4 linked regions of the Struthio camelus genome follow. The protein of the gene in region 2 purifies or fractionates together with the protein of the main gene of each other region. This does not show direct contact. Links are inferred from orthologs where the notes say so. Each region holds a gene or a part of one and is shown on either strand. Other genes may lie near its edges.

Region 1 (7,500 bases), on a different chromosome or scaffold from region 2:
GCAACCAACTGCACAATCATCACAACCCCTGTGTTACCAGCTTTAACTTTGAATTAGCATGAATGATTTTGATTACTGCTGTATTTGCACACTAGTCTAGATACTAGACCATATTTTGCAAAAACAACTTCATGCACGAGTTTTACATTGCACATTCAGACTTCAGTTTACAATGCTAAAGCTTACAATAGCTGCCTCTCCTGTCTCACTCTTGCTGCCTGTCCTCTCCACACCTCAAAATACCCCCAAATTAGTTTAGAAGATCAGCAGTATTACTCATTTTTATCTCTTTTCATCAGAAATTATTTTCTGAAGGGTTAGATATGAGCTTTCGGGAATGCTAAGTCATGAAAGACTAATGGATACATTTTACAAAGAAAACCTTCCATTTGAAAGGCAACTAAGTTTCAGGGCTAAGATTTGATAAACCATTTACTGACACATTATGTAGCCATAGCACAAATAGCAAACTACATATCAAGCAAGAAGGACAACGTATTTGTTACTCAGGCAAGAAAAAAAAAATTGTTTACTGAGGATGTAACAACATTGAACGTTAAGAACTAGCTGACTTTTGGATTAAGCCTTACCCTGAATTAAACCCTTGCTTTTACAATCTATTTTATACTATCCTTTTGTTTGGCATGTTTTTACACTTCTCCCTGATACCCTAGGAAGCAGCCACAGACCAACACGAACACTCCCAAGCATATCAGTTTACACCTAAATACAAGTTATCTGAACTTATAGCCAAGCAAAGAGGACAGTTCTGTAGAATGACCCCTAAAATAGCAAGACATTTAATATGATTCTGTATACAATAGCTGAATTTAGAGACTCAAAGCCTTGTCTGAACATCTAAGTAGCCTTATTTTCAACAGTACCAGCGATCGTGCAACTGACAGTCAGATGATACCTACAGCTGTCAGCACCTTTTAATAAAAAAGGTGAAAGCGCAAGATTAACATTAGGTTCCTGGAGTGGTCAGTTACTTGAAATTCACATTATTACCTGGCTCAGTGGACACCAGTGAATTTGCCTTTTGTGCTGTTTTAAAGATTCGCAGTAACAGCTTTGCCAATCAAGAGCAAAGTCATAACTGATAAAGTTGCTCTCCAGTGTGCTTGAACTTAGGATCAAGAACATCCTGCTCTCTTTCAGGTAAGTTTCTACTCTATGCCTTTACTATATTCTCAGCACAAAGATCCTGTTTTACTAAAACCCCTCCTTGATTTCCTTCCATCGACCTCAGCATACCAGCCCAGCCTCTTTCCATTCACCACTTGCATACTTTGGGGGATGGGAGGACCACAGATGTCTGGAATATACAGAGTGTCAGAACAATGGCTGCTCCATGAGAAAGAGATCAAGAAAAAGTAGCTGATTGCAAAGATTAACATTGCTATTCACAGTCACAAATTGCTGATATTGCCTCCATAGCCTGTGTTTTCTTCCCAAAACTGTACCAAGAACACCTCTTCCCAGAAGCAATCGATTCAAAAAGAAACTGCAAGAGGTCTTATACCAAGTTTTAGTTAGATCAGAGTTTAAGATTTTGCTAGATTTTTAAGAAATCAAACTGCCCCAAGAGGAACCCATCATGCACAAAAGACAGCTCAACTAAGCCGCTGGGGAAAAATACATCTGAAGCTCCTTGTTCCATAGAGTCAGAAATAAGTTTCCATCAACAGTAAGAGCAAGTTGCTTCACACAGCTCAGAACTGCTTTGGTTTGGGTCGCTGGAGGGCCTTCCCCCCCCCCCCCCCCCGGTCGGCCACGAAGAGTAGGCGCTTCCCCCTTCAACAGGGGAGCCCCTACATCGCTTAAGTCATCCTCTGCAAGACTCTGGTAATGTGGGTGTTAAAAACTTAATTTGATTGCTCCTAGCTTCAGGGAGCTTCATTTCGAAGACATCCAGAAGGAGCACAACCTCTCCAACAAACACGCATGCAACTACGACAGAAAACCTACAAGTCAACAGATTAGTTATCTACCTCTGACTGCAGTGACCGTGGTTAGTTAATTATACAAGGTACAGATAAATCCGTCCCCTGCTCTCTTCCCCCTCCTCTCCCCGGTCACTGCTGTGGTCTGGAGCCCACTGGCGAGTCAGCATTCCCTCCTTCCCCTCCCCTCAAAAAAAGAGGAAGAAAAAAAAGGAGAAAAAATCGGTACGAAACTACTCCGGCCTCGACCGCAAACCCAGCGGGGAGCACAGACGCACACAGACCCGCATCGCAGAGTCTCGCCCCCTCCCACAGACCCCTTCAACTACCCCCTCGGCCCAGGACGAGCTTCCCAAGAGACACCTCGGGAAGCTGCAGCTGCCGCCTCCTGCGGCCACGCAGCTGTCCGGACCTCCCAAAACAAGAGCCCTCTCCTCCTTTCCTGTCCTCCTTCCCTCGCTCCCCAACCCCCCACCTCCCGCGGCCACCCGCCTCTCTCCCACCCAAGCAGCGCCCCCCACCCCCAGCCCCGCGCCCTTCCCGCCTCAGCGCCCGGCACACCCCGGACCCCCCAACGGCCACCGGACGCGGCGCCCGCCCCGGCGGCCATCGGGGGGGGGGGGGGGGGAAAGGAGGAGGGTGGCCGGCAGGGGCTCACCCCAAGTTCCCGCCGCAGAAAGTGGCACTAACGTTGTCGCAGGGGGGCGAGAGCGCAGGGTCCCCCCGGGCTCCGGCTGCTGCTGCCCGGGCGATCCCGGTCCCGTCCGTCTTTCCTTCCTTTTTCTCTTCCCCGCCCCCCCCCCGCCCTTCCTCCTCGCTCGACTCTTTGCTGGCGGCGGCAGCACCCCCGCCGCTGCCTCCCGGGTAGCAGCCGTGCGGGGCGGCGGCGGTGTTAGTCCCCCTTCGCCCAAGCGCCGCTGCTGCTCCCACCGCCGTTACCGAGCGAGAGGCTTAAAATGGCGTCGCTCACAAGGAGGTTCTTATAGTGAGCGCCGGGCTCGGCTGTATCCTGCCGCCGCGGCCGGGCCCAGCGCGCAGCATTCCACAGGCGCCCAGCGCACAGAGCAGGGGGGAGGAGAAATAGTGCCCGGCTCCCAGGGCGGAGGGAGACAGAGAGCAGTAGCGGAGGGAAGCGGCCGCGAGCAGGGGGGGAGGCGGCGGCGGCAGCAGCGGCGGCGGCGGCGGCGGCGGCGGCGCGGCGGGGCGGGGGGAGGCAGGGTGGCTGCGGCGGGGCCGGGGCCAGAGGGTCGGGCGGGGGGCAGCGTACCCCGGCGGCGGTGGGGGAAGAAAGGAGCGAGCTTAAGGCTGCGAGCGAAGTTGCTGCCTGAAGGCGGGGGAGAGGCAGCGGCGGCGGCGAGCGGTGGTGGTGGAGGAGCTGAGGGGATTAGCCTGGGGGTCCCCTTCCCTCAGGGCAAAACAGTGCGAATTTTTTGGGACGAGGCATGCGCGGGGGGTGGGGTGGGGGGTGCGAGAGCCCGCTTCCACTTGGCCTCTGGGAGTGGGTTTTATTTATTCACTGATTTATTTAAATTTCGGGGGGTGCGCACGCCGCCAACTAGAGGGGAAACTCTGCGGTTTTCCCCAAGGCTCGTCGCCGACTGCGGAGGACTCGCGGGCCGCGTTAACGCCTTAAAACCGGCCTCTCGCTCGGCTCCGGCCGCCGGCGCAGCTGCTGCCCGCCCCGGGCCGCGCGGCCGCTGCGGCCGTTGGGGCCGTTGCGGCCGCTGGGGCGAGCCCGGGGACAGGGGCGGCGGGGCCCGCTCACGTCGGCGGAAACGCGCTCCGCTCTGCCCTTATAAATATTTGTCAGGAAGCAGTTGCCAAAGAAAGTATCTCGTTATGCAATTTATTTATTTTCTATGGAAGAAGCAGGTTTTCCTTCCCTTCCCTCTCCCCCCCCCCACCGGTCCTCCGCCCACCCCTCGTCTCTTCAGTGAGTGGTAAAAACAGGAAAATATTATGAATTGCACAAGGTTTTTCGCGGCGTGCGGAGCCTTGTGAAGGCACGTATGTGGCTGCCTCTTCCTCGGCGTCCGCGGGCTTGCGCAGCAAAACGTTTTACAGACTTCTTGCCTGTGCCGTCTTGCACAGGCAAAGCCTGTTTAACATACCCCCGAAAGTGCACCGCTGCATGAAACAAGGAGTGTATATACCAACGTGTTTATATAAAACATGAAAGATGTTTTATAGTGAAAGATGGATTATTTTTTCCCCTCTCAGTATAGATTTGCTTTGGCACTAGGGGATGGTGGGGATTGAATACTTGGTCTCGTGCTGGAGGGCTTCACGCAGCCTCTCCTTCCCCACCATCCTCTAGCTGCTGTGGCTCTTGCGCTGGGGAGATGCATGGTTCACAGAGAGGCCGCCTGTGTGCTTGCTTTTCCAAAGATAATACTCTTTTAAATAGGCTCAGAAAGTTACACTTTTAAAAGTTTTTTTCCCCCTATTTGTTGATTTATTTAGTAATGTAATGTGTAGTAGTCTTAGGCTAAAGGACTTCTTTGACAGTGCTACCTGATTTTCACATCAACTGCTTTATTGCACCAGCACTTTTTGAACATGGGATTTCTCCCTGCTCAAAAAGTAAAATAAAATAAAGGTGTAGGGCTTGCTGCACACAAAATACCCTGGTCCACTGCAGCACCTGGGAGAGTTTTGGGGTACCTGCCTGCCTGGCCTGGCATGGGGCAACCACATGAGGCTGTGGCCCAGTGGGACTGATGCAGGGGTCCCAGAGCCAGAGGAGCTGTCACTAGTGAAGCAGTGCGGTTTAAGCACTGGGAAGGCAGCAGTGCTTAAAAAAAGCCACACACGCAAAAACAAACCAACTCCCCCCCCCAAAAACTAAAAATACCCCAAACTCCTTGGTTGCTCTCCACTCTTCTCTGCCTTTGCAGGACATGCAGCAATCTACCACCCACCAGCCTCCTGGTGCACTGGGCGACCTCACGCCCTCACTAGGATGAAGTACGTCTGGGATACACTTGAAGTTAGAGGGTCAAGGAATACAGCTTTCCTTGTCATACCATTTCCTGTTAGGACGGTTGCCCACGTTGGCTACACTGGCTGAAAGGAGGGCAAGAAGGAGGAGAACTGTGCAGCCAGAGTAGGCAAAGCAAATGCTGCCGGATCAGGGCCTGCAGGCGGCAAACGCTGATCAGCTTCCAGGGGAATTGCAGGGTGTGTTTGCATGGCGCAGGAGCGTGCTGCTGTGAGCGGCAGACCTTGCCATCCTTGACACAAAAACTTTGATTCTGCTTTTACGAATCTGAGAAAGCGTGCTTGGAGATTGGTTTGGTGCATTTAAAAAAAAAAAAAAAAGATGTGGGGGGAAGAGCTACGTTCTTTGTGCACCTCCCTTTCTCAGCTGCTTTCCTGTACAACCTTGGGAAAATCATGTCTGCCTTGGTTTCACCCTCTGTAAAATGGGGATAATAATAATGACAGACCTCTCCTCTTAGATCCCTGGATCAAAGGTGCTATATAAGTTCAAAGTGCTGTTTCTATAGGGTATTATTGCCAAATTCACCATCAGCAATTCCATTGGGTACTTGATAACAACAGTAGAATCAGTCAAACGCCCTTGATGCGTTGCATGGTCCCAGATACCTTTCAGAGCCTCTTTGTGTGCCATCCCACCCCCTGAGGTCTGCAAGGATGGGGCTTTTGGAGCCTGGATTTTGCAGAAGCAGGAGGGGTACAGCCTGTGTCTTTGCTTCTGGCCCCTGAAGTATGGACTGCTTTTTTTCACCTGATGAGGACTGCTGGAACTAGCCCATTTACAAACAGGTTTAAAACATACAACTTTTTTTTTTTATATATATTTATATGAATTTCATAAGGCCTTTAGCACATAATGGTAGGCTCTTGTTGATTTTGAGTTGTTTTACTCTTGCGTGGTTTGTTGTAATTTTAAACTATATTTGTTTCATTGCAGAGTGGTTAGGATGCTTTTGGATCTAGACATGATGCTAATAGAAATTAGGTTCATTTTAGCTTTGCAATTTTTAGCTATTAGGTACCTAATCATTTTCTAAAGTATCACCTTTTTAAAAAGACTACCCTAGGAAAGCTAAATACCTTAATAGCTGGAAATGTTGCAATTAGGATGAACTCTGACTTATAATACTATTATTTCAATTACAAAATGTTTCTAAAATACATTTCATGTTTCTAAATTTTCTAAAATACACTGTGAAATGGTCCAGTGTCAAAGCGAGAAGAGTGAATGTTATATTGGATATTACAGTGCAGGGCTTCCATGAATGAATTCACAAAAATCCAGTTATTTTTCTTCTTCTACTTTTCTTTTTTTTTCCCCCAAGAAGCATCCACTCTGTATATGCCGCTTCAGAAGTTTCTTTGGAGCTCTTTTATGCTTTAATAGGTTTGTTTTGGTGACTATTTGCTAGATGACTATGCCGCAGACATATTTTTTTCAAAAGGTCAAGCAGTATTCTAACATGTCCATTGTGTATCACTGCAGTAAGAAATCCTCAGTGCAAAGGAGAGCTTCATGGTTAAATTTTAAAAGATAATGATTTAAATCTTTTTGTTAGCCTCATTTTAACATCCTTAGCACTGCTTTTGCAGAGACAACTTTTAACACCGTAGAAAGCAGGAAGCCCATTAATTAAAAATAACAAACAGCTAAAGGTAAACTTGGTTGGTCACCTTTCCTTCTGAAATTATGGCATGTAGCTGTGTTTTTAGGGAACATAGTAACAAACGAGTAGCAATGGCACTAATATAAGGACAAAGCAAAATCACCAATTACGGAAACATCTAAGGCTCTGGGCCTGAATCTTTGATTTCCCATATGGATCTTAAAAACATATGCATAATTGGCTTCTAACTGTGCATAATCTGGGAACATATTTGAGAATCAATTACACATTTTTAAAGACACTGACTAAATAAATATTCACTTGTCCGCAGCAAACCAAATCATTCTGATCCTCTCAAAAAAAAATCTTCTTCCAGCACAGAAAAGTTGTAATGTATTTAATAAGTCATGTATTTGCACTTTTATACAGGAATGAAGGGTGAAATAAAGGAGATGGTAGCAGTATTTAAGCATTCTTTGAGATACAAGACTAATCAATGTAACTTCTGCTGCATGCTTAAGAACTACAGTTTATTAATACAAGTCAGAAACTTTGCTATGTTGAAGCACATAGCTATGCCACTCAGGCTCAATTTTAGTAAAATACGTGTTCTTTAGGGACAAAGAGGGAGAGAATTTGCCAGATTCCAAAACACTGGTGAGATTTGATTTTTCTCAAAAAATTATGGAATAAAATTATGCTAGTGTGTAGCTTGCAGTCATTTTGAGTGAAAGTGAGACAGTAACAATTATTAATAAATTAGTATAGAAGATACTGATCAAAACATCTTGTTAACTGGTGGGAATGAGATAAATTGGAGTACTCTGCCAATGTTGTTCCAAATGTCAGAATTAAAATTGTAATTGGCCAAAAGTCTGATTAAAAACAAAATTATTCTTTTATTTGCTGTTTCAGTTTTGAATATATGCAATATATTGCATATATTG
Region 2 (7,102 bases):
AATAGATGGGGTTTACTTAATTTCAAAAAGAGGATTTTACACTAAACTCAGCAGCTGCTTTTTTCCAGAGTAAAGGTTTAAGATTTCTTTGACAGTGAGGAGTCTTCTTTTAAAAAAAATAATAAAAAATAAAGAAAAGCATGTGATGCCGATGGATCTATACAGTAATGAGCCGTTGCACAAAACGATGCTGCGCACTGAACGCGGTTCCCCAATGCGTGCCGGAGCGTTTCGGGAGCCAGTCAAGCACGATTTGGACCGGCAGCTCCCCCCAAGAGCGCTCTGCTCAAGGAGCCCGCTCAGCAGGAGCCAGGGCAGAGGCACCCGCCGGCACCCCACTCCCTCCGCTCCCGTTTTCACGGATCAATTCCTCTTTCAGCACCTTTGAAAGGGAAGGCAAGAACTGGGCTTTTTATGCAAACGCGCCCTCGATTTATCATTAAAACATGTTTTTGGCTGGGGCAGACCCCGGCTGCGGCGAGAGGGAACAAAAGCCCTTGTGTCATCGCACACACAGTAAACCTTTGTGGCGCTGATGAGGTCGCAGGGCGCTTTCTCAGGAGCGCTTCCCCCCCAGGCCACGACACGAGGACAACCCCTGTCGTGCATTCCTTTCCTCTGTCTTTCCACACCAAAACTCAGTCTCCGTAGAGACTGTCAAAAATTGCCAATGCCGACTATATTTCAAGTCGTCATGGCGGGGTATTGGGAAAAGTTTTCAATTAGCAATAATCGCGCCTCGGATTAACCTCATTGGCTACGATACTGCCACTGCGCAAAGCTGACTCTCTCCTCCCGCCGCCGCCGCCCCTCGCCCCGCCGCCGCCTCCCAGCTCACGGCGAGCCCCGCCGCCCCCGCGCCCCGCCGCCCCGCGCCGCCCCGCGCCTCGCCGCCGCCCCCCGAGCCCCGCCGCGCCCCCACGCCCCCGCCGCGCGGAGGAGAGCCCCGTTTTCCCCGCAGTGCCGACCGGCGGGGCGGCCGCGGAGGTTGCTGGGAAAGAGTATGCAAAGCAGCGTGACGTCAGGCGGCCGGTGCGTATGGCGCGCGGCGGGACGCCAGGCGGGCGGCAGGGCGCGCCCAGACCGCGCCGTGCCCGGACCGCGCCTCGGAGCCGCAGCCCCGCCCCCCCCCTCCCCCGTATTCCCTCTTCCTCCCCAAACTCCGCTTCCCCTGTTCCAACACTCTGTCATTAAACCACGTGAAACCAGCCTCCGAAGAGGCCCTCAAAAATTGCCGGTGGCAACTATATTGCAAGCCGCCACGGCGGGGTATTGGGAAAAGTTTTCAACTAGCAATAATCGCGCCTCGGATTCACCTCATCGGCTACGATACTGCCACTGCGCAAAGCTGCCCGCCCTCCCCCGCCGCCAGCGGCCGCCCCCGCCGCCCCACCCCGCCGCTCAGAGCGCGCCGCCGCCCCGCCGCCCCGCGCCGCCCGCCGCGCGCCCCCGCGCGCCGCCGCCCCCGCGCGCCCCCCCCGCCGCGCGCCACCGCCCCGGGAGGGGCGCCGGGGGCGGCCCCGCGGCGCGGCGCGGCGGCGGCGGCGCGCAGGGGGTGCCGGGAGGGCGCGAAATGCAAATGACGGAACTATGCAAATGAGAGGGGCGGGGCGAGGGGGCTCCCCCCGGGAGGGGACCGCGGCGGCTCGGCCAGGGCCTGCCGGCAGCCCCCTCCACCCCACAGCGCTCTGAAAACGCATCGAAACTCTTCAAATAAGCACTAACGACCTAAAGTCCATTCAGACTCACGCGGCGGCTGAAAGGCCGTGGTTAAGGGCCCGCGGCGGCCCCGGCCCTCCCCGGGAGCAGGGCGCGTAGCAGCGGGCAAAGCCGGCGCCGCGCAAGCGGGACGCGCTTCTCCTTTGCGATCACAAAATCCCAGGGATGCAGAAAGCCTTGGGCTCCTCCGTGCTTTGAAGTAACTGCAAAGGCAAGAAAAGTGGATTAAAACCTCGCCCCATCTGGAGGATGCTCGTGGAAAGCGCTCCAGGTTATCAGAAAGACCCGCCGGGTGCAACGCGGCGGACTATCCCGTGCTGGGCTGCTGCAGGACAGCCGTCTGCACTTCCCCCTTCTAGCTCATTCTTTAAAAACCTGAAAAAATAACCCCCTGTGCCAGTCGAGTCATGGTTTATCACGTGCATGTCAAGACTGAAAGGTTGTGCCAGTGCCCCGCTGCGAACCCGACCCCAACCACTGGCCACGTGCAGCTGCCCGTGGCCGGGGTAAGCGTCTCACACGGTGTCAGCTCTTGAAGTTCAGATGGGAACCAGCAGCTGAATGGAAGAAAAAATGCCTCCATTTACGCCACGCGGAGGGGAAGCGGACCTTATCTCCAGACCCTCATAACCCCAGCAGGGCGACTTGAAAGGCCTTCCAAAAAAGGAACAAAAACACCCCCAAAAGAAACATCGAAAGAAAACAACAAAAACCCTCTACTGCCGCTGTTTTCAGGGTCTAGGGAACACAGTTTCCTGTGGGAATAGCTCAACAAGCTGGCCAGAAAAAAATGTCACCATCTCAATAACCTGCCGCTTTCCAGCAAGACACCAGCATTCCCGCAAACTGTGGAGAAACAACGGGCAGGGGACATCGCTGCCCAGCAAAAGCCAGCAGTGAAACCCAAGCAGTTTGCTCGCCAGAGAACAAGGAAACAGCTTTTATGGGAACCGCGGCAGCATCCCCAGCAGCACCATCGTCTCCGTATAGGCTGGCTGCAGAAGGTGACAATCAGCAGAGTGACAAGCAGGTCAGGCCAGCAACGGGGCGAGCCCGCGAGGGAGGTAGGGAACCGACAAGCCCTTTGGTGGCAAAGGGTTTCATGTCAAAGCGCTTCAGGGCGTCTAAGGAAGGTGCCCGGGGAGAGGCCCAACGAGATGAAAGACAGACGCCTGCCCCCTTTTTCATCCACGCCTCCTCTGAAAGCAGCGTGGGGATCACCTGTCACACACCGGCCTCTTGGGGGTCGTCTGGCCGCACTGTAACGCATAACCGACCGGATTTTCCTTATTCGTCCATCCTTGCTGCCGGGGGCCCTTCCCCTGGCTTTTCCCCCCAACTTTTTTCCCCATCATTCCCAATGTGCTCAGCAGAAGACCAGTCCACCCTCCCGGTACGCTACGGGCCGGGGCCCGAGTGCAGGCGCCGAAGGGCGAGGGGCAAGCGCGGCCCCAGCAATTCACACCCCCGGGAGTTCTGGAACCGGAAGAGCCATCGTCTTCAACAGCCCACAGCGGACTTTGCTCCTGTTATTTGTTCTGACACTTTCTGAAACCAAAGGCTGGCAGGTTAGCATCAGTGAAGGGAAGCTGCCTGCGTTCGGGTGTCTACAGCGCACTTTATCAAAGCTAGTCCCTACGTAGCAAATACTGCTGTGATTTCCTTCTTGTTTGTTGCTTTGAGGGCAGCTGTGAAGCGTTTAGCTTTTTCACATTTCACTTTCTTATGACATTTCAGGAAGGTTTTTTTTCCCCCCCCTCCTCTTTGAAGCATGGGAACTGTAGTCTTCCTGCTGTAGGCTTTAATTTCTTGCTGAACTACATTTCCCAGAACACTACTCTTCCGGTAGGTCCTCTCTTCTCTTCAGAGGTCCCCCACGGCAGCATTATGAAAGGTAAGTTTTCAGGCCCTGTTCACTATATCTTCTTCCATTAAGCGTGTTCAGTTTGACTGTTGCCCCTTTTCGCCTGCAGTCATTACTGCAGCAAAAGAGATTCGGATGACCTGGGTACACCTCTGATTTTCTGGCCTGAAATCATTTATAGAAACTTGTTTGTTTTCTACCTTAAACTGGACCGATCTCTTTCTGTAAAAGATTTTGGATGTGTGTTAAAAACAAACGCTAGCTTGGATCTTGATAAGTATATTAAAGGTTTTTTTTTTTAATCCGAGCACCTTCATTTTAAAAGAAGCCTCATGTTTTGCATCATGCGTTCTGTCATTTTTAAGTTTTTCTCTTAGTCTGTCCTACTTCCTTGCTTCACAGCACCTTTCAAATGTATCTGGTATTTTTGCTGCTGTGCCTAATACCGCCTTCTCTCTCCTGCCGGCCAATCCAAATTATGTCTGCATTTCAGTCCCCTTCAAAACATTTTCTTCCGAGAGCTCTTTTGATGATAAGTGACAGAAATGGAGAATTTCCATCAGTGCAAGCAATTTAAACACTGTCAAACTGGCTTAACAGCCTTTTGGGAGGATCACAACAGATGTTATTCTCAAAGCACGCTAACGTTTCCCAATAAACTGTGTCCCTTTTAATTAATTCACATGGAAAATTAAACCTCTTCAGAAGAAAGGCCAAACACAACTAATGCTAAACATGAAAACAAAACAAAAATCACTGAGAATAAAATTCACTGATTAGATTACAACAAATGATTCAGAACTGTAGAGGAAGTCCTACCAGACTAAGCCCTCCTGTGGAGCTTAGGTTTCGCGAAGAATCAATCTGTTCTGGAAAATGCTGAGGTGGCTGTGTTGTTGCTTTCCACAGGAGAGGCCGAGGATGGGGTAAACTGAAAAGACTGATTTGGAGCAGGCAATGCGTTAGAGACAGTAGAGCAAGAGTCTCCTCTGTGGAGGAATCGGAGGCACCAGCCGCACAATGCCTGCAGGGGTGAGGTACTTGCCCTCCCTGCTCTGTCCTCTCTGCCTATTGCACGTCCCTGGAAAAGCCCTGCACAGGTCCATCTGTGCTCTTTAGGAGTCCTCTGAGGCCTTCACAGCAGGGATGGAGAGCAGGAACCCTGCGAGTCAGGGGTGCTAGCTCTGTCCTTGCACCATGGGAAGGCCTCGGTGTTACCCCCTGCAACGGGCGCATAGGAACATTGTCCTCCTGCAGTAAGCTTTCAGTAACATTTTCAAAATACTTTGGAATTCTTTACTGAAAGACAAAATAGGACAAAGAACACTTATCAGTATTATTTGCCAGAGTATCCCAAGGAAAGGGAATTAAGGACATGCTCTTTGCTTTCTTTTACCTGTGTTCTGTTCTTTACTTTTAGCAGAAGATGTTCTCTGCCAGGAAGTTGTCAGGAGGTTGCAGAGCCATCAGACTTCATTTCCGATCCCATGTTGTATCCAGAACCTCTCCCAACTTGACTTTCGTGCCAGAGTGTCTCCCCCCGGATCCCGTGGAAGTCGAGGAGCTGCAGCACTTTGTTTCCAAGTCCAAGAGGCTCTTTGTAATGACTGGAGCTGGAGTCTCGACTGAATCAGGGATCCCAGATTACCGCTCTGAAGGCGTCGGGCTCTACGCAAGGACAGACAGGCGGCCCATCCAGCACACCGAGTTTGTCCGCAGTGCCAGTGCCCGGCAGCGGTACTGGGCAAGGAACTTCGTGGGCTGGCCCCAGTTCTCCTCCCACCAGCCGAACGCAGCACACCTGGTGCTAAGAGACTGGGAGAAGCTGGGAAAGCTGCACTGGCTGGTGACCCAGAACGTGGATGCCCTTCACACCAAAGCTGGGAGCCAGCGCATGACAGAACTGCACGGCTGCACGCACAGGTACTCTCCGTGGTAGAGAGGACGGTTAACGCTCTGGTGTCTTGTTGGGGTTAAGAAGCAGCAAGTGCAGCCGTAGCTGCTGAGCCAGGAGGCAAAACGTAGATGTGCAGTGTTACTGGAGGTGACATGCTTGAAGGTGCTGGGCTGGGGGTGCAGAAAAGGGTCACGCATCAGTGCTGCTCACAGCAGAGTATTTAATAAGCATGAACAGCATCCCATTTTTTTGGAGCACTTTTTGGATCATTTCCCTTAGTGGCTGGGTCAGTCAGAATCTCACCTTTCCTTGCTAAAGCAAATATCCTTTGCTCAGGTGAAGAGGAGGATCCTGAGGATGCAAGGAATAATTACCTGGGCTGAGCAGAGCGGGTAGTGCCAGAAAAACAGAGGGTGGGTGTACTGGAGAGGGGCCACCACGGTCTGCTTGTGATTGCCCAAAGTTTCCACATGAAAAGGCACAGAGTGACTGCAAGAGAGGAGGCACAGCAGGCTTCCTCTAGAGCATCCCTGCAAAGCAACAAGTTCTGGAGGTGGGGACCACTGCCTGGCTGGCATGGGTTGGTTTCTTTCTGAGGTGTAATTATATATATATTTTTTCTTCTATAAAGCTCTTCATTTGATTGTCTCAACTAGAGGTAGACAGACAGTCCACTGACCTGTGCCATTTGGTGGATAAGTGCGGACAGTAACAACAGGCCATCCAACCAACAGCTTACTGACTCCAGAGGCTCAGCTGACATGAAGCTCTCGGTTAAGACTTTGTTCTGCACTTTAGGGTTTTCTGCCTGGGCTGTGGAGACCAAACCTTGCGCTCTGAGCTGCAGGTGCACTTTGAAGCTCTGAACCCTACCTGGAAAGCTGAAGCGCTTGGTGTGGCTCCCGATGGAGATGTCTTCCTGACAGACGAGCAGGTGCGTAATTTCCAAGTGCCAGCCTGCAGTAAATGTGGTGGAATCCTGAAGCCTGACGTGACGTTCTTTGGAGACACAGTGAGCCGGGAGAAAGTGAATTTTGTGCACCAACGCCTGGCGGAATCAGACTCCGTGCTGGTGGCAGGATCCTCCATGCAGGTAACCGGACGTTCCTCCCATACTGGATTCTCTTTCTGTGCTACTCTGCCTGCAGCAGTCCTTGGTCCCACAATATGGGACTACTGCTTGCAGACAGGTGGATCTACAGCCTCTCCAGAGCTTCTTGGTATTTTTACTGGCCTTGGAATCTGGCTTCACAGTTGCTCTGTTTGGGCTTCCCTGTCACTCCAGTGCTGATCTCCTTGAAGCTGCTATAAATAACTCCGTTCACACACTCTGACCTCTCCCTGCAGTCCTCTCTATCGCTATATAGGTCCACAGTTGCCTGCAGAGCCAGGATACCTGACACAATCCAGCCCTGTATAGATCACCACCCCACATTTCTTTGCTTGAGCTTTTCGCCTTTGGCAGCTTCTTAGGCCTCGCGGCATGCTGTGTAAAATACCAGATTTTAGGACCTCTAATTCCTAACTAAACTGCTGAAGCAGAAGACAACAGGAAATCTCTGCTTGTCACTTAGGACTGTCCTTTCTTTCACAGTCTTTCTCCATTAGCCACGTCTTATCTA
Region 3 (7,939 bases), on a different chromosome or scaffold from region 2:
ATCTGCCTTTCCTGAAGGAGCTCAGACCTGCAGGGAGAAGAGGAATATCAGGGAACCTGTCTGTCTGTTTGAAAGAGAGAAAGAAAAAACAGAAGAAGAGTATGCTCAAAAGGACAGTCTTTCATGATTTACAGAAAGGGTCTCATCACAGAGCAGATATTTCAACAGAACTATTTCTAAAGGCCACGTTACCAAGAGGTATTGGCAGCCAGGAAGTCTGTAACAGGCTGAGCACAGTGCTGGAAGAACTGCCTTCTTGGAGAAGACTTAAGAGCTAAACATGCATCACTTCAGTTGACTAAATCAAGACTGCCGGAAAGGCAGGCACAACAGCTATTTACAAACAACTGAAGACCATTCATACCAAAAGCAGTAAGGGAATCATGTTCACGTCAGCCCAAAATACAGCATGCATCAACCCTGTGCTTGCACTGCTCCCTCTGAGCTTGCCTTTTTGCTACCTAAGTTATCTACTGCCTCAGCTGCTTGCTATAGCACTGCACTCTTTTTTACATCTGCATCACTACAGATGTACGCTAAGAAAAGTATAGGGGGGGATGGTGAAGAGCAGAGGGATGAAATCATGAATCGGGAAGAAAGAACAGCAGGAAAAGCTTCCGGACAGTTTGTATTCAGCTGTGGGAATCACCTCCCAAAGGAAGTGGTGGAAGATTAACCCACTTGAGTCATTTAGAACTAGACAAGACAAACACTAAAATTATGCCCTTGTACCAGAAATTCAGGAATATGCTAGAGAAACTTGCATTCTTCTGCATCAGTTTTTCATAAAGGTGGGCAAAATTAGGCCCACCTAGGCCCTAGGATTATGTAGATCAGATTATCAAAAGTTTTAAAAAAACAAAACAAAACAGCAGACTGATCTCCCTGGCTGCATACAGAAAATCCACAGCAGCAACAAAAAGAATAGCAGTTTTTTAGCTGTTCAAGTTTTATTTTAAAATAGAACTGGTTTATTTATTATATGGCTGGCAAATAGCTATGGCACTAATCAACTCTAAATTTGATAAAGATGGGATTCTATTCTCCACGGTTGTCAAGTTTGCACCTTTCACTTTACTACGCATATTTGAAAAGGACAAAAGTTTAAGGCATCTTCATCATAAACTTGCCTCATCTTGCCTACATATTGCCAGCGGCTCACTGTTTTTGCAATCTTTATAAAGCAGCCTTAGGTAAGCTTGCAAAATGCTATGTAATCACTTGCTAGAGGCAAGTAATATTTTTTATGACAGGAGAATGTATCATCAGCTTCCTCATGAGGGTGGTTGTGAACTTTGCGCCTCTGCTAGAATGTCTTCACTACTCTGGAAATCTAGTTTAATTTACTCTAATTTACATATTTCTAGTAGCAAATTATTTCTTAAAAAAAAAAAAGTTGCTACCAAGTCATCTCATGTCATAGTTGCAAACTGATTTGCTTAGGCTACCACCATCACTTACTGAATGACAAACGTACCAGAAGCACAGATTATCTAAATCTATTTGCATATATGCAAAGTCCTACTCCACTTCAATGCTTAAGTACATGCTCAGCACCAGCCATGCGTGGTTTCACTGATCTGAATCCTTGCTCCTAAAGATATATGTGTGTTGGCAGGAACAGGACTGTAGCAATACAGCAAGGGCAAATCTAACAGAAAAATCACCATTTGCACCTGAGAAGTACAGGCACATATGTTGGCATGAATGGACTGCTGTGTTATACCAAGGGCAAATCCGAAAAAAAAAAAAAACCCAAAACAAAACAGGCTGGGTTTTTTTTTCTCCCCAGAATGAAAAATATTCTCCAAGTTTAATCAGCAGTCTGACATTCATTCCATCAGATAAAGAAATCTAACATTGGGTCAAAACACGACCTAAGCAGTGAGTCAGAAAAGAATTTTCTGTCACTTTATGTTTCCTTCCAAACATCGTGCGTATGAAGATAACATATTAGACATCTCGCATGTTAGACCAAACATTGCTTTTGCATTGCTGTAAACTACTCCCGAAACCATCAGCAGAACCAGACCGTATAAAGCGGCCTTACGTTCCCATAACCCCACTTTCATCCTCAAGTAAGCTAACAGCCAGCTGTAAAGGCTCACTGCCAGCTTAGAGCAAAAACGCACCAGCTTCAACGGCAGGCGAGTCGAGCAGTCCAGTGGCTGCACCGCGACCGCGCAGCCGTCCCCACGGCACAGAAGCCTGCTCTCAACGGCCGACTGTAATAGCCACGTTCAGGCCAGGGACTCTAGAGACAGGCGGGTGGTGAATTCCCGCACGGAGGCACTCTTCGCGCTCTTATTCCTTATTTCCTGACGCCAGCCCTGACCGCTGCGCGGCCGCCGCGCCAGCCCCCTCGCCTCGCCTCGCCTCGCTCCGCAGGGCCGCAGGGCGCCCGCCGCGCCCCGCGCTCGCCGAAAACTTCGGCTCCCCGCCCGCCGCCCGCCCTGCCGCTGCGGCCGCGGCCGCTCTCCGCTGGTCGCCGCGCAAGCCGGCGGCGCGCACAAAGGCGCGGCCCGGCCGCCGCCGTCCCACCGCGACAGGAAGCCGCGGCCGGGCCCGGCACCTTCCCGCCTGGTCGCAGCAGGCGGGCGGGCTGCTGCCTCCCCCCCGCGGCGGGGCACCGGCGCCGGCGGCGACTCCCCGCACCGTGAGGAGCGTCTCCCCCCCCCCGCCCCCGCCGGCACCGCTTCGCCCGCTCCGATCCCCGCCTCGTCCTCCCGCTACCTCGGCCATGGCCGCGGCGCTGCTGGCTCGGGACAGGGGGCGCGCTCCGGCGCGCCCGACTGAGGCGCCTCCTCTGTCCCGGGAGCGCGGGCTGGGCGCGGCGCGGCTGGGCTCCCCGTCCGTGTGTCGGCCCGTCCGCCCCGGGCCGCTCCGGCGCCGGCGCCGCTGCGCTCGCCTCAGAGGTGCTCGCGGGGAGCCCGGCGGGGGCGGGGGCGGGGGGACGGGGAAGAGGCTCCGCGCTCAGCCTGCTTTTACCCCGCCCCGGAAATACATAATACAGAATACATTCCTGTCCGTTGCCGTCAAACCTCGGGCGGGAGGGGAAGAGGGAAGGGCTCTGCCTGGGCGAGGGGGGCCGGGCCGGGCCCGCCGCCGCCGCCGCCGCCCGCGCTCCCTCAGGAGCGTCGCGCCGCCGGCCGAGCCGCGAATACCTCCGCGGGGGGGGGACGGGGGGCGCTCCGCCGGGCAGCTTTCCAGGAGGGCTTTTCTCCTTCTTGTCGTCTCCCCCCTCTCCCCCGACTTCGTGCCAACCTTCATCACCTTATTTGGTGGCGTTTTTATTCGCGCTCCGGCTCCTGGTTGCCGGGGGTCGGCGGCGGCTGCCTGTGAAAGGCGGTTTCCCGCCTTTGGGGCGGGGGGGGGGAGGCCGCCATGTCTGGGGCGTCCCCGGGGGTCGGGGGGCGTCCCCAGGGCGGAGGGGCCGCCGCGGGCAGGCGGCTGTGCCGCATGGCGGGCTGTGCGCGGACACGCGTGACTTCGGGGCGGCGCGTTCCCCTGGCTGCGGAGGGCAGGGCGGCGCTGCCGGGCGGGCTGGCGGCGGGCACCGCGCCTCTCCGAGCTGGCGGGCGCTTAACTTTCACACCGGACCTGGGCACCGGTTTCGCTTGCCGCTTTGTCGTTAAAAAGCCGGATCGTTTCTTTTTCAGGCGTCCTCCTTCCTCCGGCTCCAGCTGCTGCTGCTGCTGCAGTTCCTCCTCGCTTCTCTTGGCTCTAGTCACCGCTGTGAAGTGGATGCTGCGCTGCATCTTCCAGTTGCCACCTGGCAGCAACCGCTTCCCAGGAGCGGCGATGAGCCAGGCCGCAGCCGCGTCCAGCCCTGCGGCCACGGCCACGCGAGGCGAGGAGCCCGCTGAGAGGCCGCGTGTCCCCGCGCTTCGGTGGGGCACGCCGACAGGCCGACACGCTGCAGCGGTGCTCCCTAGTCAGAGCGCCGTAGGCACCTGGAAGAGCTGTGGCGTGGTAGAGCTTTTAGTGGATAATCGGCCAACCAATAATTAATTGCGAAAGTAAGGAAGGTTAATGAGCAGATGAATGGCTTGGGCGTTACACTTCATGCGTATCGTGCTGTTACACTCTAGGAGAAGACTAAAAAGTGGAACACTTAAGTTGCTTGGGCAGTACTTGCTGCTGATTGACACACGCTGTTAACGTTCCTTAAACACGCTTTAAAATACATTCTTGGGAGATGTACTGGCAAAAAAAAAAGTGGTATTAAACACTTATTTGAAGGTAAAATCTCAAGGGAAATGTAATCTATGGACTCTACAGTTCACAGAGGCAGACTGTGCCTTTATGAGTGACCCACTGCTTGAGCCTCTGTCAGTTCTTATTTTGGTATGATTAACTAAAGTGGTGCTGCAAGCTGATAATCATTTTATAGCTCTTCTTCTGCTTTATTATTAGTTGTGCTGAAAAAATAAAAAAACAGGGCTTCTGCGATTCAAATGTATGTTCAAATTGGCCAGTGCAGTTCTTCAGGATGTAGTCTCTCAATGTAGCTGCACTAGCAGAAGCTTTTAATGCTGCTACAACTATAATTTTAAAACTGTTTTAGTGGTGTTAGAAAATGAAATTGAAATGATAGGCTGCTGTTCAAAGCAGCTTCATCAAAGGTGAGCACAACAAATGAAGTGGAAAAGAGAGAGCTTTCTGATTGAAAGATAAAGAAGGCAGAGTACATATGTTGCATGTTAGATTAGTATGTAGTATTAATACTGCCAGAAATAAGGAAAGAAACTGCTATAAAACCAACCTTTTTAAAAAGTATGCAACACAAAATAAAGGCAAATGCAGAAGGGACAGCGATCTGCCAAAAATGTAAGAAATTTAAGTACTGAGGGGAGAAAAATGGCAGTTAGCCAAAGTCTCCTTCCATGCTCCTGTATTTCAGGAAAAAACCACGTTTTGCCAGAATATAAAAATGATGAGTAAAAATATACTATAGTATACTGCAAGCAGGTAGTGACAAAAATAGCCCTCATTCTCACTGCTATGTTTTGCTGAGACTGTGAGGTGTAAATGAAAATGTTTAGCAAAGAGATGCTTCAGGCACTGCTACATTGAGCTCAAACGCTGGTGTGTCACATTGACAGTGGCTGGCTGTGCTGTGCTACAGGATGTTGGCAAGAAAAATCCCCCAAACTGCTGGAAAGCTTACTGAATTATTTGACTGCTTTCTGGACTTCTTTTGGAGCATACAGATGCGTGTGAGGGCCATTTGTTATTTTCTAACACTTCTAAAGTACTAAAGATGTCAGAAGAAGTGCTTGAGGTATCTGAGCCAGCAGTTGCAATTGCAGATGATGTCAAAATGTTTATTGCAGTGTCTCCATATTATGGTATACATGACATCTGTGAGAGTGAACATGTTTTGCATGAAGGAGCTCAAGAAACTCCTGATTTTCATGGGTTGTTCAGGCAGCTAGGAAGTATGCTAGTCATTGTTAGGCTTGGTTTGTTAGTACTAGCCCAGATGGCATGTTCTGGTTATCCACATCCTTGCATCTCGTGGAAGATGGATGAGGAAATGTGACACGGGGGACAGGATTATGAAATGTTGTGCATTCTTACTGATTTATTTGATACTTCTGGATTTGCTATTGTGTTTTAGCTACATTTTTATATGTTTATGAGACAGCTTGGTTCTTTGTTACAAGATTTGGATACAAGTCCTTGACTCGTCCTTCTCCAAGTACTTGTGTGTTGTTGAACCAATATAATAACTGAAAAATACCAGAATTAAAATATTTTCGGTGAGTTTAATTAGCTTAACTTTATTAAAATACCATTTCATTTTCCTTTTTTTTAATGTGTATTTTATACTTGGGTTATGTTTAGAAAACAAGAAAGCCTGTAATTTGGTAATGACGCCTTTCAATTTGTGTGTAGCGTATGTTCCTTTTCTGTGAATGCTGTAAGAAATAAATTCCTGTGTTGTAGAGTATACCATCCCAGGAGAACTGTCGAAGTGATGTGTGCAGAGATATCAGCAAAAATAGCAAAACAGTTTGTAAGATACCTTTCATTTTTATGATTAATTGCATACCATATTATTGAAAAATTCAGACTTCTTAAGTAATCATTAAAATAAATATTTTAGTATATTATTTCTTTGAAAATATCTGAAGTATATTTTGCACATTAAATTACTTGGTAGGTACAGTTGATTTATTTAAGTGGTGGTGTATACCTACTAGAGTTTTGCTTTAAAAGCACACTGAAGTTCTGCACACTTTCACTCTGTCTAGCAATCTTTCAGTCCAAACAACTAGCAATAAGGAGGGGCCCAGTGTCACAGAACACCACTAAGTGGTTGGTGGAGCACCAGTGGTCTGTAGGCCGTGGTTTGAGAGTCTTCGGCCTATTTTTGGTTCATTTTTTTAATATACAGAAATTACCAGCATGACCAGGCAGTGTTGTGGATGCAGTGTCAGTCTGTGTCTGTATCTTGCCTTGAAGGTACAGGTTTTATTACAAATTTAACAGGCATATCTAAGAGTCCCAAACCAGGTTTTGTTGTGTCCAGTGCACACGTTAAGAGGTAACATCTATCCCATGGGTCAACTGTTTAAACTGGGGTTTGTCAGCTGCAGCTGGGAGGCTGTAGCTGAGTGTCCCTGCAGTGCAGCAGTCCCTCCTGGTTGCCTGGCTAATAACCTTAGCAAGGGGCGATCATTCACGTGCCTCAGGGACTGCCGTATCCCTGAGGAGTAGGAACTGGTTGGTTGGAGAAGCTACTGCAGCTTCTGTGTCATTGGGATATTTACTTGGCTGCAGTTTCCCAGTGGCTGCACACTGCTGTCTGTCCGATCTGTTTTGATGGGTAGCAAAGCCCACATGTCCAGGGGTGTCATGGCCTTGGCTCCTGCCAATGTCATGGCGTTTCCCCCACCTTCTCTTCCTCCACCCCTGGAGCTTGAGACAGGGTGTATAGGGAGATACTCTGCAAGCAGGGTCACAGTGAGGAGTGTTGTGTGCTGGACATTAGCCCCAAAATGCCCGCTATTAGGCAAACTCATCTCGGTGCACCATGGCTTCCTACCACCATGGGCAGCTTTATAATCTCACCACCCACTAACGCAAATCTTTCCCTTTTGCTTTTGGATATTGTACTAGGTATCTCAGCCCAGCTCTGCCTCAGTGCATGTTAATTTATCTGTATTGCTCCTTTTTCCCAACACACTTTATTACTGAGAGCAGTGAACTTTACTCCCCTCATCTTTACTTCCTCTCCCTTTTCAAAATGCTCTTAGACGACCTAGGATATTTTTTTTTTCTCCAAAGCAGAAAAAAAAAAAAACCCAAACACCCTGAGGTGAAGAATCATAGTTTAAATACAAAAGACAGATAAAGGGTGGGAGAGAAAACAGTGCCAAAGTAATTTTTCCAAGATCAGTAACAGAGCCAGGAACCTCCTGAGGCCTCACCAGGCTGCTGCCACCTGGACTGTGCTGCCTCTGTAAACAGCCTTGTTTTCCTTTCCTGTCCTTGAGAGCGGAAGAGCAGCAGTTGCTGCTCTTTTATTCCCACAGAGCCTGCGTAGCTGTGGAGGTACACAGTGAGTTGGGAAGGCCTCGCTGGCTGTTTGTCTGCGCGGGGGGCTATGCCTTCCAGTACAGAGAACGAAGGAGATGTTAGATGTAAACACAAAATAAATACAAGGTATTATTACGAAGTAGGGCCACTTAGTACAGGAAGTGATAACGCCAAGAGGTCGCACTAATTACTTTTGATAACGGCCTCTGTTTGCTCTTTTCACAAACAATAAGGAGCACTTCTCTGGATGCTGTCCGTGAATTAACCTGGCAGCTGCTCAACAGCATACAATGTGGCCATTATACGGAGCCTTGCATTTACACTGGAACGAGGTTCTCCAGCCTTAAACGAGGGCTGGAGTAAAGTGAGTCACAGATATGACAAGCTGAAC
Region 4 (7,175 bases), on a different chromosome or scaffold from region 2:
TGCGACGCCCTGGCCCAAGCGGGGCTAGCTCCGGGAAGCTCGGAGGCCACGAAGCTCCAGCTTTCCTCCCACTGCTCGGCTGAAGCAAGTCACCTTCCCGCCCTGGCGGCCACCTCAGCCCACATGCAAACCCCTTCCTCTCTGCACCACCAGGTCCATTAAGGCATGGACAGACAGACCCCACTGAGCCCCCAGCGCAGACCCACTGACAGCTCCTTGCACACCATACCAGGAGTAAGGTAGGCTGGGGGCAACCATGTCCCTGCACAAACCCTGTGGGCTCGCGTCAGGGAGCGACCCCTACCTGAACATCAAAGACATCAGTCACCCTGATGTTTAAAAAAAAAGTGAAATGTACATTAACAAACTCATTTACATTAACAAAGCCATATATATACCATACTCAGGCATGCACACTGAGTTGGAAAACACTATTCTAACACTATTCGGTTCACTTATTTCCATCAGGCTCTCTTTAATTATTTTGTCATACAGTTACATCCTGTCTCCCAAGTTGAGTTTGGGCTCCCATTTCACTAGGCTTGGCATCTGCACGCAGGGAAATACTTTTTCTGCCCCAAAGTTTGGAGTCCAAAGCACTTTCGAGACTTACTCGAGGCTGCGCACACAGAGGACTGGTAAGATGTTGTGCTGAGACTTAACTGTGTGAAGACTTGGTGCTAACCAGACGAGAGCGAGCCTGGGGGAAAGGGAGCCGCGAGAGACCCTGCCTTTGCAGCTGGGGACTCCTGCTCACGTAGGTAGCCGGGATGGCTGAGCCTGCAGCCCCACGTCCTCCCTGCTGCCAGATGTGTCACCCCGGGCAGCCGAAAAAGACATTTCACCTGCTCCGGAGCTGCAGTGTGCAGGGTACTGAATGAAACGGAGAGCAGTTTGCACCTTCCCTACCCGAGCTGTGAGCGCCCCAGGAGCAAACACATGCCTCTTCCAGCTCTCTTATACAAATAGCAACTCCTGGGCAGAGCAGTGAGCAGGGGACAGCAGCGGCTTTGGGCGTCCCAGCTGGCTCCACCTGTCACCATGCTGGAGCCCGAGTCACCTACGCTCACACCACGGCCGATACGTCGTGTCCGCTCCTATCGCTTGGATCCATCGACAACACCCTGAGCTCCCCAGTGGTTTCTCTATCCCTGTATTGTCTCCAAGTTAGCTTGCAAATTTTGGGGGGCAGGAACGGCCTACTCAACCCAGGGTAGCAGGACCCCCATCCTAGGCCAGGATCTCTGGGCCACAGTACACCACAACACAAGAACCACTTCAGCATGTAGCAAATTCAAGAACTAAAGGGAGATAACCAAAGCCAGTGCCGTGTCCAATGCCCTATTTAGCTCAACGTACCAGTTTTCAACTTTGTGGGTCAGCGGGCTACTTTTAAAAGAGCCACCAAAGGTAATGAAAACCTACTGTCAGCAGGCTTAAATGTCTGTAGTGGCAAGGTCTGCAAGCTGAAAAAGTTCAAAAATGCAGTATTATTTTCAGGCAAGGAATTTTCCTGTCAACGTAGCAGATGACCTTCATTTATCTTCTCTTCACTACCTTGCGTGGTTCAAAAGGAAAGTTTTGCCACTACACATAGTTCAAGCGCATATGTTACAGAAAAAAAAAATATATATATAACCATAATGTATATTACATTGTTGAACGCTTCCTCCAGCATGCAGAATGAAACACTGGGACACTGAGCCCAGGTGAGACAACTGCATCATTCCAAATCTCAAGGTACAGTATCCAAAAATCACAATTCACTACATCTGAACTACAAAAAAAAAGAATTATGTATGCATACACAATACATGAAAGTTACCTGACGCACTATATTTGTTCAAACACAACACAGAATAAAACTGTGTGTGGGTTTTTTGGTTTTTTTTTTCCCCCAAATCTCAAAAAGATGAGATTTCTCCACAGGCTACAAAGCACTAAAAAGACCTAAAACAATTCCGAAACAGCCCACACCAAAACTAAGCGTAGCATCACAAAACCTCCTTCAAACGTTGAAAGGGATGAGCTGAATCACAGCCCCAAGCGAGGTGAGACACTGACTATACCAGCAGTTGGGGAGATAAGTTTTCAGCCGGCTTTACAGCATGGCAGAAAAGGTCCAAATCTCAAAAACGCACGTTCAAATTGAAGAGTGAGGACTATATACTGAAGTTGTTGGGTTTTTTTTTTTTTGCTTTTTAGGGTTTTTTGGTTTTGTTTGGGGTTTTTTTTGTTTGCTTTTTTTTTGCTTTTCTTTCTCTCCGTGTGAAACACTTGCAACTCCGCGGCTCTCAAGGGAAGGAAGCCCTTTCCGGGGAGGCTGTGTGCACCCCTAGCTGCCCCTCTCCCTCGGCTCTACCCGGCACCGCCGCGGGCACCGGGGCTGCGCGCGGGGCAGCGGCGCAGCGCGGCCGCCCGGGGCTGAGCCTTCCTCGCCCTCCTCCTCCTCCTCCTGCCCGCCAGGACTTTGTCCTGAGCCGCCGCCGCCCCGACGCGGTACCCCGCGGCCCGGCAGGTCTCCCGGCGAGGGGAGAGACCGAGGCCGGGGCCGGGGCCGGGGCGGGCGCGGCCGCACAAAGGGCGTCGCGGGGGCGAGCGAGCGAGCGGGCGGACGGGGGGCACTTACTTTCTCGATGGTGCCGGGGAGCAGGCGGTCCAGCAGCCTGCACAGCACCACGCCGTCTTTCAGAGACGACTGCAAAAATCCCTCCGGGTCCGAGATGGTCTTTTTGGGCGACTCCAGCACGCCCAGGGTGATCAGCCACGTAACGGTCTGCTCCGCGGAATTCATGGCCGCGGCCAGGAGGAGCCCGGCTCCGGCGAGCAGCGGAGGGCGAGGCGGAGGCAGCGCACCGGCGAGGACACCCCTTTTTTATTATTAAATCTTTTTTTTTTTTTTGGATGCGTTCCCCCCCCCTCTCACCCCCAACCTCTTTTTTTTTTTTTTTTCGGGCCGGGGCTTCAGGCGGAGGCCGCGGCGGCCGGCGCTGCCCCCGCCTCCCCCATGTGAATGCAGATGACGACGCCCCTCGCCCGGCCCGGCCCCACCGCCGCCGCCAGACGCCCGCCAAGCCGCAGTGCCGCCCCCCGCCGCCGCCCCATGACATCACCGGCGGCGGCGGAGGCGGCGGCGGGGGGCGGCGCGCCGGGGGCGGGGGCGGCAGGCAGGCAGGCAGGCAGGCAGGGGGGCGCGGGCCGGGCTCCGCCGCCGCCCCGGCCCCAGCTCCGGCCCCGGCCCCCGGGGGGCGGTCGGCGCTGCCCCCTAGCGGGGGGCGCCCCGCGCCGCCGCCGCTGTTGCCGCGCCCGAGCGGGGCCCGGTGTGGGCAGCCCGTTAGAAGGAGGGGAAAAGTCACCGGCTCCCCCTTGTCGGGCGAACGGTCCAGACAAAAAGAGCAAAAAAAAAAAAAAAAAAGCGGTTTTCATCATAGGCCGAGGGCGAGCGTTTTGGTAAAATCTCCTTCTAGGAACGCTTGGCAGCGTCTCCTTGGCCCGGCCGGTCCCGTTTGCACATCCTTCGCCTCTGCTTGCAGTTTGCACGAGCGGCGACGCCAGTTAGGAGGAGGGCGCGCGGCGGCTGAAGCGCTGGCTCGCCGCGCCGCGCTCCTTTCCAGCCATCATGTCTGCGGCTTGCCATATGTTTCACCGGTTCACTCTCGGCGAGTTTCCACAATCCTAATTTATGGCAGCGCTTGAGAAGCCAACGTAAAGACTTAGAAATATCGGGAAGGTTAATCTGAGAGAACTGGCTAAAGTATCTGTGTCCTTTCTGGTTTTACTCCAGAGAAACCCGTTCCTTAAGACTTTGCTCAGATGAGATCCTATTTGAAACGGGCGTTTTAGTATGTTCAGATCAGCCGTGCGCTGCCCAGGGGAGGCAGAGCCTCCCTGCCGCCATGAGCATCGCCGCGGTGGCACGTGCGCGGCGAGACGTGATGCAGCAGCAGCAGCCGGGCTCCCGCTTCCCCCTGCTCGGGGTGCATCCGCATCCGACCCACTCGAGGTGCAGAACAATGCTAGATAGTATATTTTCAATACACAACTGTTTCCTCTCTCGTATGCAAGGTATTACCAGCTGTTATATACTGCTGCAGGTTGTTTCCAACTTGGCTTTTATGCGGACCAGGAAGTAGCTGTACTGGCTTGGGGGGAGCTCTCCTGGTTCCCTATCCCGTCTCTGACTGTGCGCCGGCTCTAGCTGCTTCTCCAAAAGACATAGGTGCCTTTGGATTTGAAAAGAGATGATCTGACTCCAACATTAAATCTCCTAATCCATAATATCAGCAGCTTTCCTTAAACTTTGACACATAAGGTGTAATAGCGCTTCCAAAAGTTGATAGCATTAATCATTTGAAACTTTTGCTTTCCTGGTTGCCCCTTCACTATACATTTTGAGCAAAAGCTTCCTAGCAGAGAGTTGTTCGGCTACCAGTAAAAGGACAGCAACAACACAGCTATTCGTTGCAGTCCCTTGAGCGGTGTGGATGGCCTAACTGGAACTCTTCAAACTTGCCAACGGCAGAGGAAGAGTTCTCAAATCTTCAGAGGAAAAAACTGCCCAAAAGATTTTAGGAGTATGCCCAAGTCTTCCTGGATTCCTTTCTTCTCAACCTTTCCCTGACAACGTATCTAATGCAAACCATCCATACTCTTTGCACTGCTGGCTTGTTTTGTCTCCTGCGAGCCTCAGTCTTGCCTGCTTACATGGCAGGCTCCTAGGACTGACCGCTATTTTGCATCTGCATCGTCTAGCAAGGGGAAACCTATACTGTGCTGGGAGGTTTCAGGTAATGCAAATGATGAAACATATGATTATTACTAATTTTTGCTCCTTTCTCATTTGTTTCACCATTCAAGCTGTTCTGATTATTTTATGTCTAGAATTTGGTTCCTTTTTTTCTTCAAAATAAATTGTAAGCTGATAGTAAATTTTATTTAAGCACTCATTAGGGTAATATTTAAGCAATCTAAAAACCTCCTGAAGGCATCAAAATGTATGGTTTTAACCGCCTTTTTCTATAAACCATTTTTGAAATATGTACAAAACTGAAAAAAAAATCATTTTGGTATTGAATTCATACATGCAGGACAGAAATGGACAACATATAGAAGCCTGCAGGTGTTAAATATCTTTGCACAAGCAAGAGTATTACATTTTGGTTTGGGGGAGACTTAATACCTGGGTATTACTAACTGAATTAGATTGGGCAGAGATCTAGTAGATTTTAGAACACATCATTTTCAGTAAATAAAGATTTGACAATCTCTTTGGACTTTCACAAGCTTTTGTCATACACTTACAAGAAGTTACTAAGGAAACTAGGTAGTCATGAGGTAGAAGGTAAATTCTGCTATGGATTGGAAAGTGGTTGAAAGGCAAGACAGGCAGCAGAAATAAACTGTCAGTTCTCAGTCTGACAAAAAACTAACACTAGCAGTATTTCTTGTGTTCTGTAGTATAAACTGAGTTGGCAGTAGTATTTGCCACTAATTGAAAGTGATCAAGTGGAAATTGTACTTCTGCATTTTTATTTGGTCTTTTAGCCCATGAGCAATGTTTTTTCAGAGGAGGGAGAGAAGAAAGAGAGCAAGGAAATGGCAGGCGAAGAAAGCTTCTGCCTCTTCTTGGATGCTCACTTCCCATTTTTCATTTTCAGTTATTAATACCTCGTCTGTCTGTTTTTGGAGCAGCAATGAGGTGCTTTGGCCAGATATGCCACCCTCTGCTTTCCTCGTGCCAAAACAAGGTCGTGACTTTGATGGGCAGGAGACTAATTAACTATCAGTCCGGTTTAAACAGAAATTGCCTTGGCAGTCAGTAATTAGCCACATAGGGGTCATACTGGATCAATTACTGATCGGGGATTCCTGTGCAATAAGTAGTTATCCCCATAGTTTGAACCTAGGGAAGTTTATATCCCTCTGAGAAAAACCTCGTCCCAACAAAGCTTTTGTATTAAGCTCGGAGATATATTTCCACGTGTGAAGATGGTGTTTGTGAAGTCAGGAAGCAGCTGCCTGAGCAGCATGGTACCAGCGGAGGTAGAAATATGGAGCAGAGCAAGGTTGTACATGGATAAAACTATGTGGTCACATTCACTGGGTTCCCGCTGCAAACAAGAGGCTGACAAAGTGAGAGGAGGCTCTTTGAGAGCCACCAGCCTGTCTCTCCATCTCCTCCCAAAGCGGCCCCTTAGTAACTAAAGGAGCACAGGAACCTGCAGCAGGCACAGAGGCAACCAGCCAACCTGAGCTACTCTTCTCCCAAAACATCCATCTTAGCCAGGGGGCTAAGGTTACACTTTCCTCTAGCCTAAGCTGTGCCTTGTTTTCTAGTGAGCGCGTGGAAGAGGGAGAGGTGAAGGACGTAATAGAAGAAGTGGATCAATCAAATAAAATAAACATGAAAGGAAAACCAGATAGGAGAGACGAGTGGAAAAAGAAGACTAGTGAGGCAATTATTTAATTGTCTGTGAAGTGCCAGAGTGTTTTAATAGGCAGATGCAAAAAGCTCTGGTCCCGAGAAGCTTTTCAACCAAGCATAAATAAACATAAAATGAATGGTACCTTACAGAGTGTGGCTAAAGTGCTGATGCAGCAGCACCAACGTGGGACTTTCCGAGTAGGTATTTGACATTTGGGCGCAGGCAGCATGAGGCTCAGGTACCTGGAAACTGCGTGCTCAGCTCTGGGGCAGTGCTATGGGTGGCCAAGCAGCATGGAGAGGCTTAGGCAGCTGTGACGGGGTTCACACGTGCGCTAAATGCAGAGATGCCCAAGCCTGCCCCTATAAGAAAATACAATGGAAAAAAGTGCCTCTGCACATCTCTCTTTTATGGGGGCTGCAGGCACCTGGCCTAAGGATGGAGAGAAAACAGGGATGCATGAGCATGGCTGGGGCTTTTTGCTGGGAGAGAGAAGCCCCAGAGCCCATCTTCCTGCTTTGTTTCCAATACACATTTCCAGAACACGCAGAGTGCCAGCTCTCCCCTTAAGGTAGGGCAGCCAGTAGAAGTGAAATCTCATCTCTGGTGCCATGAAGCACCCACACCTAGCTGACCACATGGCCAGCTTCAACAGGAGAAATGAAGCACCTCCCCCAGAATACCCAAACCTTTCCCTAGACTATGATTTCAAACCTCTTGGGCATGCGTCCCACTTGTTGTACTTCCTGG

The links.
Region 1: the proteins of PXN (region 2) and CTNNB1 purify together in Homo sapiens (affinity purification with western blotting; 3 studies listed by BioGRID and IntAct, with this or other methods). This does not show direct contact. The link is inferred for Struthio camelus from reciprocal best matches to the Homo sapiens genes PXN and CTNNB1.
Region 3: the proteins of PXN (region 2) and ITGB1 purify together in Homo sapiens (affinity purification with western blotting; 3 studies listed by BioGRID and IntAct, with this or other methods). This does not show direct contact. The link is inferred for Struthio camelus from reciprocal best matches to the Homo sapiens genes PXN and ITGB1.
Region 4: the proteins of PXN (region 2) and ARHGEF7 purify together in Homo sapiens (affinity purification with mass spectrometry; 3 studies listed by BioGRID and IntAct, with this or other methods). This does not show direct contact. The link is inferred for Struthio camelus from reciprocal best matches to the Homo sapiens genes PXN and ARHGEF7.

Annotation. Positions count from the first base shown.
Region 1 is NC_090943.1:51,348,701-51,356,200, reverse strand, and holds the start of CTNNB1 (catenin beta-1), read right to left. Parts: upstream 3,001-7,500; 5' UTR 2,605-3,000; intron 1-2,604. UniProt on the Homo sapiens protein: Key downstream component of the canonical Wnt signaling pathway.
Region 2 is NC_090958.1:7,823,895-7,830,996, forward strand, and holds the start of PXN (paxillin), read right to left. Parts: upstream 3,005-7,102; 5' UTR 2,990-3,004; coding exon 2,952-2,989; exon of another isoform or gene 1,923-2,951; coding exon 1,750-1,922; exon of another isoform or gene 1,628-1,749; intron 1,351-1,627; exon of another isoform or gene 1,210-1,350; intron 784-1,209; exon of another isoform or gene 643-783; intron 1-642. Other genes in the region: SIRT4 (NAD-dependent protein lipoamidase sirtuin-4, mitochondrial), read left to right, coding at 4,604-4,615, 5,007-5,506, 6,279-6,573. UniProt on the Homo sapiens protein: Cytoskeletal protein involved in actin-membrane attachment at sites of cell adhesion to the extracellular matrix (focal adhesion). Recruits other proteins such as TRIM15 to focal adhesion.
Region 3 is NC_090943.1:16,830,223-16,838,161, reverse strand, and holds the start of ITGB1 (integrin beta-1), read right to left. Parts: upstream 3,005-7,939; 5' UTR 2,743-3,004; coding exon 2,734-2,742; intron 1-2,733.
Region 4 is NC_090942.1:158,295,179-158,302,353, forward strand, and holds the start of ARHGEF7 (rho guanine nucleotide exchange factor 7), read right to left. Parts: upstream 3,008-7,175; 5' UTR 2,795-3,007; coding exon 2,630-2,794; intron 1-2,629. UniProt on the Homo sapiens protein: Acts as a RAC1 guanine nucleotide exchange factor (GEF) and can induce membrane ruffling. Functions in cell migration, attachment and cell spreading. Promotes targeting of RAC1 to focal adhesions. May function as a positive regulator of apoptosis.